Chlamydomonas reinhardtii: one gene and its partners. The main gene of each other region encodes a partner of the protein of the gene in region 2 in a complex. Links are inferred from orthologs where the notes say so. Each region holds a gene or a part of one and is shown on either strand. Other genes may lie near its edges.

The links.
Region 1: CHLRE_03g164101v5 (region 2) and CHLRE_10g441950v5 share a complex: the UniProt entries of both Arabidopsis thaliana proteins name them as parts of the heptameric LSM1-LSM7 complex. The link is inferred for Chlamydomonas reinhardtii from reciprocal best matches to the Arabidopsis thaliana genes EMB2816 and LSM2.
Region 3: CHLRE_03g164101v5 (region 2) and CHLRE_06g251300v5 share a complex: the UniProt entries of both Arabidopsis thaliana proteins name them as parts of the heptameric LSM1-LSM7 complex. The link is inferred for Chlamydomonas reinhardtii from reciprocal best matches to the Arabidopsis thaliana genes EMB2816 and emb1644.

The regions. Positions count from the first base shown.
Region 1 is NC_057013.1:3,152,899-3,156,268, forward strand, and holds CHLRE_10g441950v5 (uncharacterized protein), read right to left. Parts: upstream 2,458-3,370; 5' UTR 2,320-2,457; coding exon 2,278-2,319; intron 2,183-2,277; coding exon 2,063-2,182; intron 1,516-2,062; coding exon 1,465-1,515; intron 1,200-1,464; coding exon 1,131-1,199; 3' UTR 632-1,130; downstream 1-631. Other genes in the region: CHLRE_10g441900v5 (uncharacterized protein), read left to right, coding at 23-175, 374-607; CHLRE_10g442000v5 (uncharacterized protein), read left to right, coding at 2,689-2,855, 2,945-3,012, 3,193-3,341. UniProt on the Arabidopsis thaliana protein: Component of LSM protein complexes, which are involved in RNA processing. Component of the cytoplasmic LSM1-LSM7 complex which is involved in mRNA degradation by promoting decapping and leading to accurate 5'-3' mRNA decay.
Region 2 is NC_057006.1:3,033,869-3,037,514, forward strand, and holds CHLRE_03g164101v5 (uncharacterized protein), read right to left. Parts: upstream 2,688-3,646; 5' UTR 2,633-2,687; coding exon 2,545-2,632; intron 2,469-2,544; coding exon 2,397-2,468; intron 2,272-2,396; coding exon 2,219-2,271; intron 2,105-2,218; coding exon 1,988-2,104; 3' UTR 853-1,987; coding exon of another isoform or gene 702-852; 3' UTR 592-701; downstream 1-591. Other genes in the region: CHLRE_03g164050v5 (uncharacterized protein), read left to right, coding at 32-193, 394-551, 702-852; CHLRE_03g164150v5 (uncharacterized protein), read left to right, coding at 2,906-3,313, 3,495-3,646. UniProt on the Arabidopsis thaliana protein: Component of LSM protein complexes, which are involved in RNA processing. Component of the cytoplasmic LSM1-LSM7 complex which is involved in mRNA degradation by promoting decapping and leading to accurate 5'-3' mRNA decay.
Region 3 is NC_057009.1:320,222-323,965, reverse strand, and holds CHLRE_06g251300v5 (uncharacterized protein), read left to right. Parts: upstream 1-1,101; 5' UTR 1,102-1,355; coding exon 1,356-1,400; intron 1,401-1,479; coding exon 1,480-1,578; intron 1,579-1,854; coding exon 1,855-1,932; intron 1,933-2,184; coding exon 2,185-2,224; intron 2,225-2,509; coding exon 2,510-2,629; intron 2,630-2,913; coding exon 2,914-2,936; 3' UTR 2,937-3,671; downstream 3,672-3,744. UniProt on the Arabidopsis thaliana protein: Component of LSM protein complexes, which are involved in RNA processing. Component of the cytoplasmic LSM1-LSM7 complex which is involved in mRNA degradation by promoting decapping and leading to accurate 5'-3' mRNA decay.

The sequences.
Region 1 (3,370 bases), on a different chromosome or scaffold from region 2:
CACCCCTTGCGCTGTCGCACAGGTGTTTGACGCCTTCCTGCACAGCTTCACAACGTACCGCTCGCTGCTGCTGCGCATCAAGCAAGAGTACGACGTGGCGCTGGACGACGCGCTGGCGTCACTGTATGATAACGTGCACATGAAGGCGGAGCTGGCGGTGGTGGACGAGCGCATGGTGCGTGGCGCGGTGTGGCGTGGCTGGCTGACAGGACGTAGTTGGGTTCCATCCTTCGGTGTTTGCTGTTGCAGCCTTGCAGAGCCCCCTGCGTGCGATGCGACCAGTGGCGTTCTTCGACCCTTACAACCCTCTTGTAACAAATGCGATCTACCCGCTCCGTGGTCAACGCTGCGCTCCCTTTGCCTGGACACGCAGGCCACGGCGGTGCAGCAGGCGCGCGCTCGTGCCATGGAGGACGCCAGCGCCGTGCGCAAGGAACTGCAGGACCAGCTCAACATGGAGGAGAGCAAGGCCTTACAGGTGAGGGCGCGCTGCCCCAAACTTGGGCACTACCGTATCTTCCTCGTTACTGCCCATCCAGATACTGGGCATCACACTCCGACCGCATCACCCATCCGCGCATGCAGCTCCACAGCACGGTACTACTAAAATACCGGGAGCCGCAAGTGCACGCCCCTCTAGACTGGTGGTTTCTGCTTTCATGTCGTTGCTCGTTCCTGAGCACCACTGTCGCCATGCGTCACCAACCCTAACAGGCCGAGGCGCGCTGCCAGGCCGCTGAGCAGGAAATCCAGACGTGCAAGGCCAGCATCCAATCACTCAAGCGGGAAGTGGCCGAGCTCCAACGAGCCAACACAGATATCAAAAACCAGCTCCTACTCAAATCCAGCTGGGGCGGGGGAGCCGCCGCCCCGAAAGCTGACGCATGAGCTTCCCTCAACGCCAGCTGCGCTTGCGCCGTCGGCAACGCGCGTTAAGTACTGCTTGTGTACCGTCATATTGTGGGCGTGCCACAATGGCACTCGCGCAGGCAACTATTGAGTCCTGTCACCACTTGCGTCAGTCCGTCAGAAGTCATTATGTCCTAGGGCATAAGGCACACAGCATGTGGCTGTGGCCTAAACCCGAGGCCACCCTAGCGGCATCCAACGTTACAAAGCTGCACTTGTTTTTAACCACCGCGAGCCTCGCGCCGCGTGGCGTCGTGAAGCACCTCCACGTCCACGGCCCCGGGTGGTAGCTGTAAGAGCAAGGCAGTCAGGGTGTGTGGGTAGCTTAGGAACACGTACACGATTGTGTGTGTGGAATTGTGGAGTGATTCCCGCTCCAGGTGCTAAGCGGTAGGCGTGGTGAATGCGCCCTAATGGCCAAGCACATATGCTTCTGTAACATTTGTGCAAATGTGCGGCACGCTAGGCCACTTGCTTTCATGAGCAGGGCAGCAACAGCGTCAGCACCATGCCGCGTGATGTGCAACGTTTCCTTTGTCATGCCACCCCACTCACGTGGACGTAACGCACGACGGAGCCACGAATGAAGCAGTTGCGCACAGACATCTGCAAGGATGGGGAAAGGGAGCAACTGAATGTGAAGGAGTCGACATCATTTGCCAGCGCCGCATGCCCGCAATGGGCTCTCACCAGCCCAGAGTGTTACACCAGGAATTCCCGGCTGTAACAGCATCAATATAATAAAGGCCCCAACTTCCATCCACGCCTCACCCCGGGGCCACCATAAAAGACCTCCAGGCCGACTCGCTGTACCAGTGTGCTGCCCCAAGATACGGTTCACAACATTCCCCGACTGTCACTGTTACGCCACGCTGTTACGCCCGGCCTTGTCAAGAGGACGCCAAGGCAACCTGTGGACATCTATACCCTCTCTGCCATCAGCCGCCATCACCTGTCGTGGCTGCCAGTTTAACCGCGCTCGGCCCTGCTGATTCATGCTTCTGAGTCGCTACCCGCCACGCCGCGCACCAACCGAAGTACCCAGCACGTGTTCTCATCCACCTCACCCTGCCTCTGCCGCTAGCGCCTTTCCCCCTGACCTCAACTTGGTTCCCCCGGCAACGTTGATCGCCCCCGACTGCGCCAGCCTCACCATGTGCGGGTACTTCTGCTCGTTGTGCACGCGCGTGTTGGTGAGCTTAATGTTCAGGTACTGGTCCACGCTGTGCAGCGCGCCGCTAATACACAAGTCATTCTTGAGCTCCACCGTCACCTGAGCAGTTCCAGAATGCCACCAGTCAGCTATCCTGCTGCGGCAAGCGCTGCCGCAGTGCACAGAGTCCTTAGGCTAGTCCGCATGGCGCGCACCTCCTTGCCCACCAACGTCTTGAACAGTGAGAAGAATAACATGGTACTGCTACTTAAGCTTCAACACCAGTGCTATGATCTAGAGCTCCGAAAGCACAGCGCTGAACGCAGCAATCTGAACCGGCAAAGGACAGGCCGCTAACAGATACAGAACGAGGCAGTGGAGAGACTAGTAGATAGGATGCACCTGAAGGACAGCGAAGGGCGAGAGGATTTTAGGCAGCACCGATGCAGCCCAATCCCAGCTGACACGAAACCCTCTCCAAACGCCACGATTCAATGTTTAAGCAGTGTCTACACTCTTAAAACCTTTGGATTTAGCTGACGGGCAAAGCAACGCGTGAAAAACCTGTCGCCGGCTAACTGTCTTTGGCGCTGAGTCGCCCGTTGGTGTAAGAACAATTTGCAGCCATGGCGGACACGGTACAATACCTAATGGAACAAATGATTCCGGAGCTGGAGGACCTAGAGCAAAAAGGCTATTTTACGCGCGCGGAGGTTAAGAAAATAGTCCAGAAGCGACAAAACTTTGAGTACCTTCTAAAACGGAGAGCGGCGCTCAAGGAGGACTATTACAGGTGCGTCTCGAGTGAGCGCCGACCGTGCATGCGCCGCCGGTCTTTCCTTGAATAGGCGCCAATTGGCTGGCATCTGGTTATAAAATTAGGTACGTCGACTTCGAAATGAAGCTGGAGGAGCTGCGACAGGCGCGGAAGGCGAAGAAGCACATCAAAGGTGCGAGAAGCGGGGAGGCGGGGTTCTGCACGGGGTTCTGGGTTTCGGCACGCGCACAGTCCGAAAGTACCGTCCACGCCCGCGGGCGTATTAAAGTTGCCTTAGGTGACAACTATTTGGGAGCTTCAGGAGTTCCTCTGCCGAACAGACTTGAGGGGGCGCATGTGCTGTGCTCTGCAGGGAAGAAGGGTCTGGCGGAGGTGGCGATCGTGCGGCGCATCCACTTCATCTTCGAGCGCGCTGGGCGCAAGTTCCGCAGCGACCTGAGCCTGTGGCTGCGGTGGATTGAGGTCTGCAAGCGGTACAAGAGCATAAAGCAGCTGTCCAAGGTGTGCTGAAGCAGTTTGCGCGCATGTTC
Region 2 (3,646 bases):
ACTCGTTGGCCCCGGTGGTGCCCCATCTCAGGGCGAGATCGACCGGCTGCAGTCGGGTCTGGAGCAGGCCAGGCGCGAGCTGTCCAGCAGCAAGGCCAATCAGGAGCAACTGGTGGCCTCGCAACAGGTGGCCATCGCCGGCATGACTGAGCGCCTCAACAAGCAGAGCGACCGCTACAACGAGCTCAGCAAGGTGCGTGCATGTGGCGCTCGGCGCTGGGGCCATGCGGCGGGGGTGCGTGGTTTGGGGAGGATTGGCTGCGCGTGGATGTGGCATGTGCTATGGAGGGCTAGCTGGCTACGGGTGTGCCGGCCAGCGCGATCCTGCCTTACTGTGCGTCTTGCTGAGTGTAGCTGTACCCGCTGCGGGCTATTGGTTGGTTGTGAGCGCAGAAGCACGAGTCGGTGAAGCAGCAGCTGGACACGGCGCAGCGCGAGATTGAGAACTGGAAGACCAAGTCGGAGCGGCTGGACCACGCCATGGCGGACGTGACGCGCCTCATCCGCTTCGCGCGCAACCCGCCCGACTCGGCCCGCTCCTCGCTCATCATGTAAGAGCAGTGGGCGTGCGACCACACAGTACCTCTCAGCATTAATGTCCTTTGCGCCTTGAGGCGCCGCGGCCGCCTTTCCTGCGGCAAACCTTTCAACCACATCCGCCTGTCGCCATACACAACGGCCGTCCTTGCTGCAACCCACAGGACCCGCAGCGACCACATGTCGCCCAACTGGGCCACCAGCAACGTGTCCGGCTCCCGCAACGGCCCCAGCGGCATGGGCGCCACACCTGGCTCGCTATCGCTGCGCATCACGGAGTCGCCCGCCGAGTCCCCGCGCATGTCCACCAGGTGAGCACTGAGCAGCCTTGCGGTACATGTGTGTAATCAGTACTTTCGCCCATACTTATGCAGCGTTGTTTCCTTCATTGGTCTTAGCCATGCACACCAAGCGAGACAACCATGCGCCCCGCGTCTTGCAGCGCACTCGGGTGACTCGGCCACCATTGACCCAAGCAATGCCATGCCAGCCCGGACACGAGAGCCTTTAACATGAGCGCCAGTGCCCACTCCAAATCCGGCTCCTCCACGTTCCGTCATTGACCCCTTCCCACGCCCTTCGACTCCCCCTCACAGCCGCTACTCCAACGCCAGCCCTGCGTCCAAGATGGGAAGCGTCGCCGCCAGCCATCGCATCGATGACGACGGCGAGGAGTGGCAGAGCGCCGCGCGGCGCACGCTCGACGTGGTCAGCCCCGGCGATCAGCTGCCCATCCCAGCCGACGGCGACGACTGCTGAGCAGCCCGGCTTTGCCTGATACCTACAAGCTAGAAAGCTGGGCTGAGGACGAATAATACTGACTGACCACCACCACCACCACCTGCTAGACCAACTGGTTCGACGCTCATGTCCTGAGCCAACTGATGACACCGGGAAACCCCATGGCTGTGCGGAGCCGCCAGGAGGCCGCCGCGAGAGAGCGGCGGTGCAGTACAAAGTCCCGCCTCCGCCGCCCCTGAGGTGGGGCAGAAGACGGGTCAAGGCGAAGCTGGAGCTGCTGTGGCGGGCTGTGTTGGCCCGAGCACTGCTCCAAGCGACGGCCCTGCCGGTCCACACGGCGACAGTCGTCGTGTACAGTGGACGTCCGGCGGCAGTAGTTGCTCCGCATTCCGCCGCCGGATGAGCCCTAGGGTAGCTCAGGTCCGCTGAGACAGTGCTGGCTAGATTGTAGACGCCGTGGCGAGAGATCCTAGATAGTTGCGGTCGGGTTGGCCAAATGAGAGAGTGGTAACAAGTGTCTAGAACCGTCTGCGTGCGCAGGAAGGCCTATGAAAGCAGTACCAGTGTGTGCTTAGCACGTCTCCAGAAAGCGCTTGGCGCTAAGAAGCAGGACGAAGTCATGTCTGTACTCTACCTATCCTAACCAAAGTCCGTAAGTCGAAGTGTTGGGATTGAGTTTCAGTATCTCCAGAGAGATGTAACACCTAATCTATTCATCGTCGCCCTCTGCCGCCTGCTCGCCGTCTTTCGCCTGGAGGAAGGGGTTGGCAATCTCCTCCATGCCCGCGGACGGCGCAACCAGCATCACTGCAGTGCCGCGGCACACCTGCATCACGTGGAGGGCGGGTCAGCAACTCAGGGTCAAGGAAACGCCACTCTCTCAAGTTCACGGCGATAGTCTGCACCCCTGCGCTTGCTACGCCGAAGGCGAAGTACTCACCAGCAGCCCTAGTGACCGGGTCTCATCGGTCACCGTGAGCGGGTCTTCCGGGTCTGCGCACGAAGGGAGAGACGGCGGCAAGCAGATGGGTGGGTGCGTGTGCGTCACGCCCGCGTACCGACACCCCGCGTAGTCCCCGGGCTCCGAACCTGTCGCACCCACGGCAGTCCTGCCCTACCTCGGAGGTACTCCACAGCCTCATCGATCACCAGGTTCAGCAGCTGGTCGTAGCCCTTCAAGATCCCTTGCACTGCGCGCAAGTTGTCGAAAGTTGAGCGAGAGCGCACCGAGCGTCTTACTGGGTTGGCGATATGTGTTCCTCGCACCTTCCCGTCCACCAGCAAGCTTGACGCGAACGCCCTTGTCAATAAACTTGGCGAGGTCGACCGCCGACTCCTTGGCCTTTCCTGCCATGGTTATGTTACTGAAATGTAATGAAGTTGAAAGTTTAGAAAATCAAACAGGCTGGTGGACGAAGGCGTGTGCGAAGGATTGCATTTCGCGCCTGCGCTGCTCCATGCATCCGTGCGGCTTTCCTAGTATGCATTGACTTTCCATGTAATTTGTTACTGTCACTCACTTGCAAATTGTTCATACCCGCCCTCAAGGCGTGGGTCTGTTGTCCCAAATTGCACCCAACCTTTGCTTGTGTCTTCACCGCTGCTATTAGGTCAAGCGCTGGCAGCAATGCTTGCAGGGGGGTTAAGGGGGGCGCTGGGACTCAGCCGGGTGGCGTCGGGCGAGCGGCGAACAGCGGCGCCGCACACCCCACGTTGCCCCGCCGACAGCGCCCCTTCCACTAGCAGCTCCCACCTCGCACTGGACCCAGCGCCATATAGTTCATCCTGCCATCGCAGCCGCACTAGCTGCATCGCCAGCACCAGTAGCAGCAGCACCGGCACCACCAGCACCGGCAGTAACAACTCCGGCCGCGCCAGCAGTCCAGCCGGCGGCATCACAGTGCCCCCAGCCATCCTCACGAAGTCCGCCGTGCGCCGCACCTCCAGCCCGAACTCCGTCATCGTGCATAACCTGCGGCTAAAGCTGGGCTCACGAGACGTCAAGCGGCCCGTGCTCAACGGCGTGGACCTGCAGGTACGGACCATGCGGCGGCTGGGGAGTCGGCCAGCCGGGTTGGTCGTCTTTCCCTAGTCAGGGCGCGAGAGATCACCACGGCCACACACCGTAGCTCCTCCGACCATTCCTACCGCACCCAATACCTTCCCTTGCCAGCCCGCAACACTGCATTAGCGGCACCCAATCCTCGCCCGGGCAGGTGCGGCGCGGCTCGCTACACATGCTGCTGGGCCCCAACGGCTGCGGCAAGAGCACGCTGCTCAAGGTGCTGGGCGGGCTGCTGGTGCCGGACAGCGGCCTCATCGACGCCGACCAACCCAGCGGCTTCGTGTTCCAGAACCCCGACCACCA
Region 3 (3,744 bases), on a different chromosome or scaffold from region 2:
ACCTGGGACGTAGTGTCAGCCTGGGGGTCGCGGTACTTTAGGGTACTTTGCAATTCTGGGGGCGGTCACAGACATGCGCCACGTGTAGGGTTTCCTCGCGCTGATGGGATGTGGTGCCTGGTGGCCACCCATCCTCGCGCGTGGGACGGGTCATTGTATGCTGCTTGTGGTACCTGACGTAAATGCTGCCCCGCCGCCCCCCGCCCCCGCCCTCCATCGCTGGAGGGCGACTGTGTCGCCCGACCTCTGGCTGGTTGTGCCTTTCTGCATGGTCCTGTGCGGAAGAGTGTTCTGGGTTGGACCCTTTTTTTCCTGGATTTTCAGGGCCTGGCGGCCGCGGCTGCGGCACAGGACCGGCAGCGGCGGAGGCAGCGGCCCTGCGCCCAGCAGTGGCGGCGTGCATGCGTGCAACATAGAGGGCAGGCAAGGCCACGCACGTGGAGGCGAGCGCGGCGCCGCCCGAGAAGCGGTGCCGGCGCGCAGGTTGAGATTGCCGGTGTCTGGTTTGCGGTCTTTGCTGGCGAACATAGCGTGGCACGGCGTGTGACGGGATTCATTACTGATTGGTTTTGTTGCCGGCTGTGCTTGTGCTTGACAGTGGGACGCGGCTGGACACATGGCGGGCGGTGCCTGTATAAACCGAGCCCGGCTTCGGGAAATTTGCTGAATGTGATGCGTCAAGCGTGCAGCGTGATGCATGTGAACAAACGTGTTGTCCCCCCAAGAGGCAATGCTGACTCTGAGCAGCATCCTCCCTGGAGCGATGGACGCCGTTCTCCGCGGCAGGTCGCTATTTGATGCGAGTGAGGGACTGAGGGGTTTGGTATCAGGCAGGGGGAAACGTGTTCAGCACGAGGGGCAGACACCTCCCTTGCTTGCCTGTACCGCAGGGGTGCTCTGCCGCTACCCTCGCTTACGAGCTGGCCACAGCGCACATCCCTTTCATTATGCGGGTGTGCAGCAGAAATTCATCCATGGGCAGGGCCGAAGGTCATCACGACATAATAGGCACGCCCAGGCGCGCCCTATGCCCCCCCCGACCTGCCCCGACCTGCCCCTCTGTGTGCCTGATGCAAGCACGGAAAGCAAATCCTCTGGAGACCGGCTGTGGCACCCCAAAGCTTTAAACACCCACAGTATATAAAACTGCGTTGTACAGCTTCTCTGAAACACAAAGCCAACTCGCGCGACTCAAAAATTGCTTGGCGACTGACTACATTAAACCAAGTCAAACCCCACACGTCCAGGCTCCTGGTAGCTTGTAAGGAATCATCTATTCCATCCTCACAAGACGCGCGTAGTGCTTGGGTTCGGGGCGCATCGTGCGCAGGATCTCGGGTGCTGCTCTCGGAGCCATGCTGCCCCTTTCGTTGCTAAAGACGGCTCAGCGCCATGGGGTGGTGAGTAATATCTGGACTCAGGACCTTGCCACCTGCGCGAGCTGCTGACCATGCGGGCCAACTTCGGTCCTTCTCGCAGCTTGTGGAGTTAAAAAATGGAGAGACGTACAACGGTTATCTCCAGCACTGCGACACATGGATGAACCTGCACCTGTCGGAGGTCATTTGCACGTCCAAGGTGGGTTTGCAGGGCTCCGGACGGCGGCCCCGGGGCAACCAGGCCACCCCGCGCCGCTGTGCGCCACGCCGCTGTGGACCCACAAGCTCCATATGGGCTTGTTACCGGCGGCAGGACCATTCTGGCGGCCTGGAGATCCAATGCAGCATAAGGGCGCCTGCACGCAGGCAGCGGGAGGGGCGGCGGAGAGTTGCGGTCGGAGGCGCAACGCCCGTGTGGAGCTTGCCGTATCCGGCTGAGTTCTATTGATACTGGCACATATGCGCGCGTACACAGGATGGGCAGCGGTTCTTTAAGATGCCCGAGGCCTACATCCGTGGCAACACCATCAAGTACATCAGCGTGCCCGAGGAGGTGAGGCGGGGTGGGTTGTCTTCACCACACCGTAAGCCTGCACTTGTGACGGTGTGCTAAGGGGCCGAGTTAAGGAGGGCAACTTGGGGGGATGATGGGGCGTGGGCTCGTGAACGTGGGCTTGAGGACAGGTGCACGTGTGCGCCGTGCAGTGGTGCCCTGCCGCAGATGGTGGCGCAACCGACTGCCGTATACCCGTGCTTTGCACTGGCCTGCTGTTAACCACCACTTGTATCCCGGCGGGTGTGGCAGGTGGTGGACAAGGTACAGGAGGAGAACTTGAGACGCGACGGTGAGGACCTGGGCAAAGGGGGACACGCTTTACAGGGAAGGGGCCCAAGGGGCAAGCGCTGGGCACTGGGTAGGGCGGGGTGGCGCGGGGCGGGGCGAGGCGGGGCGGGGCGGGGCGGCCCGGCGGGGTGTGGGGCCGGCGTGCCCTCCAGTACAGTCCAGTACAGGGCATGGTTCTCATGGTGCCACGGGGCAGTCTGCCTGCCGGCAGCTCCAGCTGTGGCTGCAGCACTTGTACCGCACCTGCACTGACTCGCCCACCATGTGTCGGTTGCGCTCACCTCAGAGAAGCGGCCCACAGTGGCCGGCCGCGGTCGTGGCGGCCGCAGCTGGTCGGGAGGCCGCGGCGAGGGCGGTGGGGGCCGCGGCGAGGGCGGCGGCCGTGGCCGTGGCGAGGCAGGACGCGGTGAGTTGGTTGTAGGGGTGCGGGCTGGTGCGAACTGCCATGGATCTGGATCAGCCATGTTATGGCATCAGGCACGTCTGGATGCAGCCGTGGCCTGGCGTGCCAGCCTGCGCGCCACCCCAAGGCGTTGGCCCACCTTCCTTTGCGGCAACACCTGCGCTCCCTGGGATTTGGCATGGCTCGTGTGTGTGGATACATGAGGACGCGGTGCTGGTGGTCTGGCTTAGGTGGCATACGCGCACTGCATCAAGAGCTGACCGCCCGGATACGGTGTGGTGCCGCAGGGCGTGGGCGCGGGCGCAGCTGAGCAGCGCGGCAGCGGACTGCTGTCCCGAAGGCCGTGGACGTGGTGGCGGACTCGGGCGGAAGCGAAGCGACTGCGGCGCCGGCGAGCCCGGCGCGGGGGCGGGCGTCAGCACGCGGGGCAGACAATGGAACGTGATTTGTTTGCATGGCTGCTTGCCGGCACCGGATTGTGAATGGTGATTGAGAGCTGAGGTGGTAGTAGCCAGCCTTGCTTGCCGCTATCCATGTGCGGTATGCATGTAAGTGCGGCGTGGGGCGGCCAGCTCCCTAATGATGGGGAGGTCGTGGGGGCGCCGCGGGCCAGCAGGGCATGTCTGGGGTCTGTGGCTCCGCCCACGCGGGCTGACTGGCTTGACTGGATTGTGGGGCCTGGATTGTGGGGAGGCTGTGGGTTGCCCAGCGCTGGCCGAGCAAACTGTACGTCGTTGCGGGGTGTTGTTATCGCACCGCGGTCACCGCTCTGGTGGACGCCCTGGCAAACGTAATGAAGAGCCAGATCGAAGTGTGTGGGCTACGTCTTAGATACAGAGGCATTGCGGCTGGTGCACGAGCGGGCTAGTCACGGCCAGTCACGCACGTAGGGCCGTAGGGGGCAACTTGGATAGTGAAGTTGCCCCTGCAGGTTGGCTTGGCCAGTGTGGGTCCTGGCCTTCTGGGCCCCACCCAAACGGGCATGTGTGTACATGTGCCCGCACAGCAGCGCCAGACAGCGCATTCCCTGTAACCACTCTAAGACGAAGGGCATTACATGAAGCATACAGCTGCATGTTTACGGAATCGGAAAGGCTGGAGACGTAGCAGCAAACGCT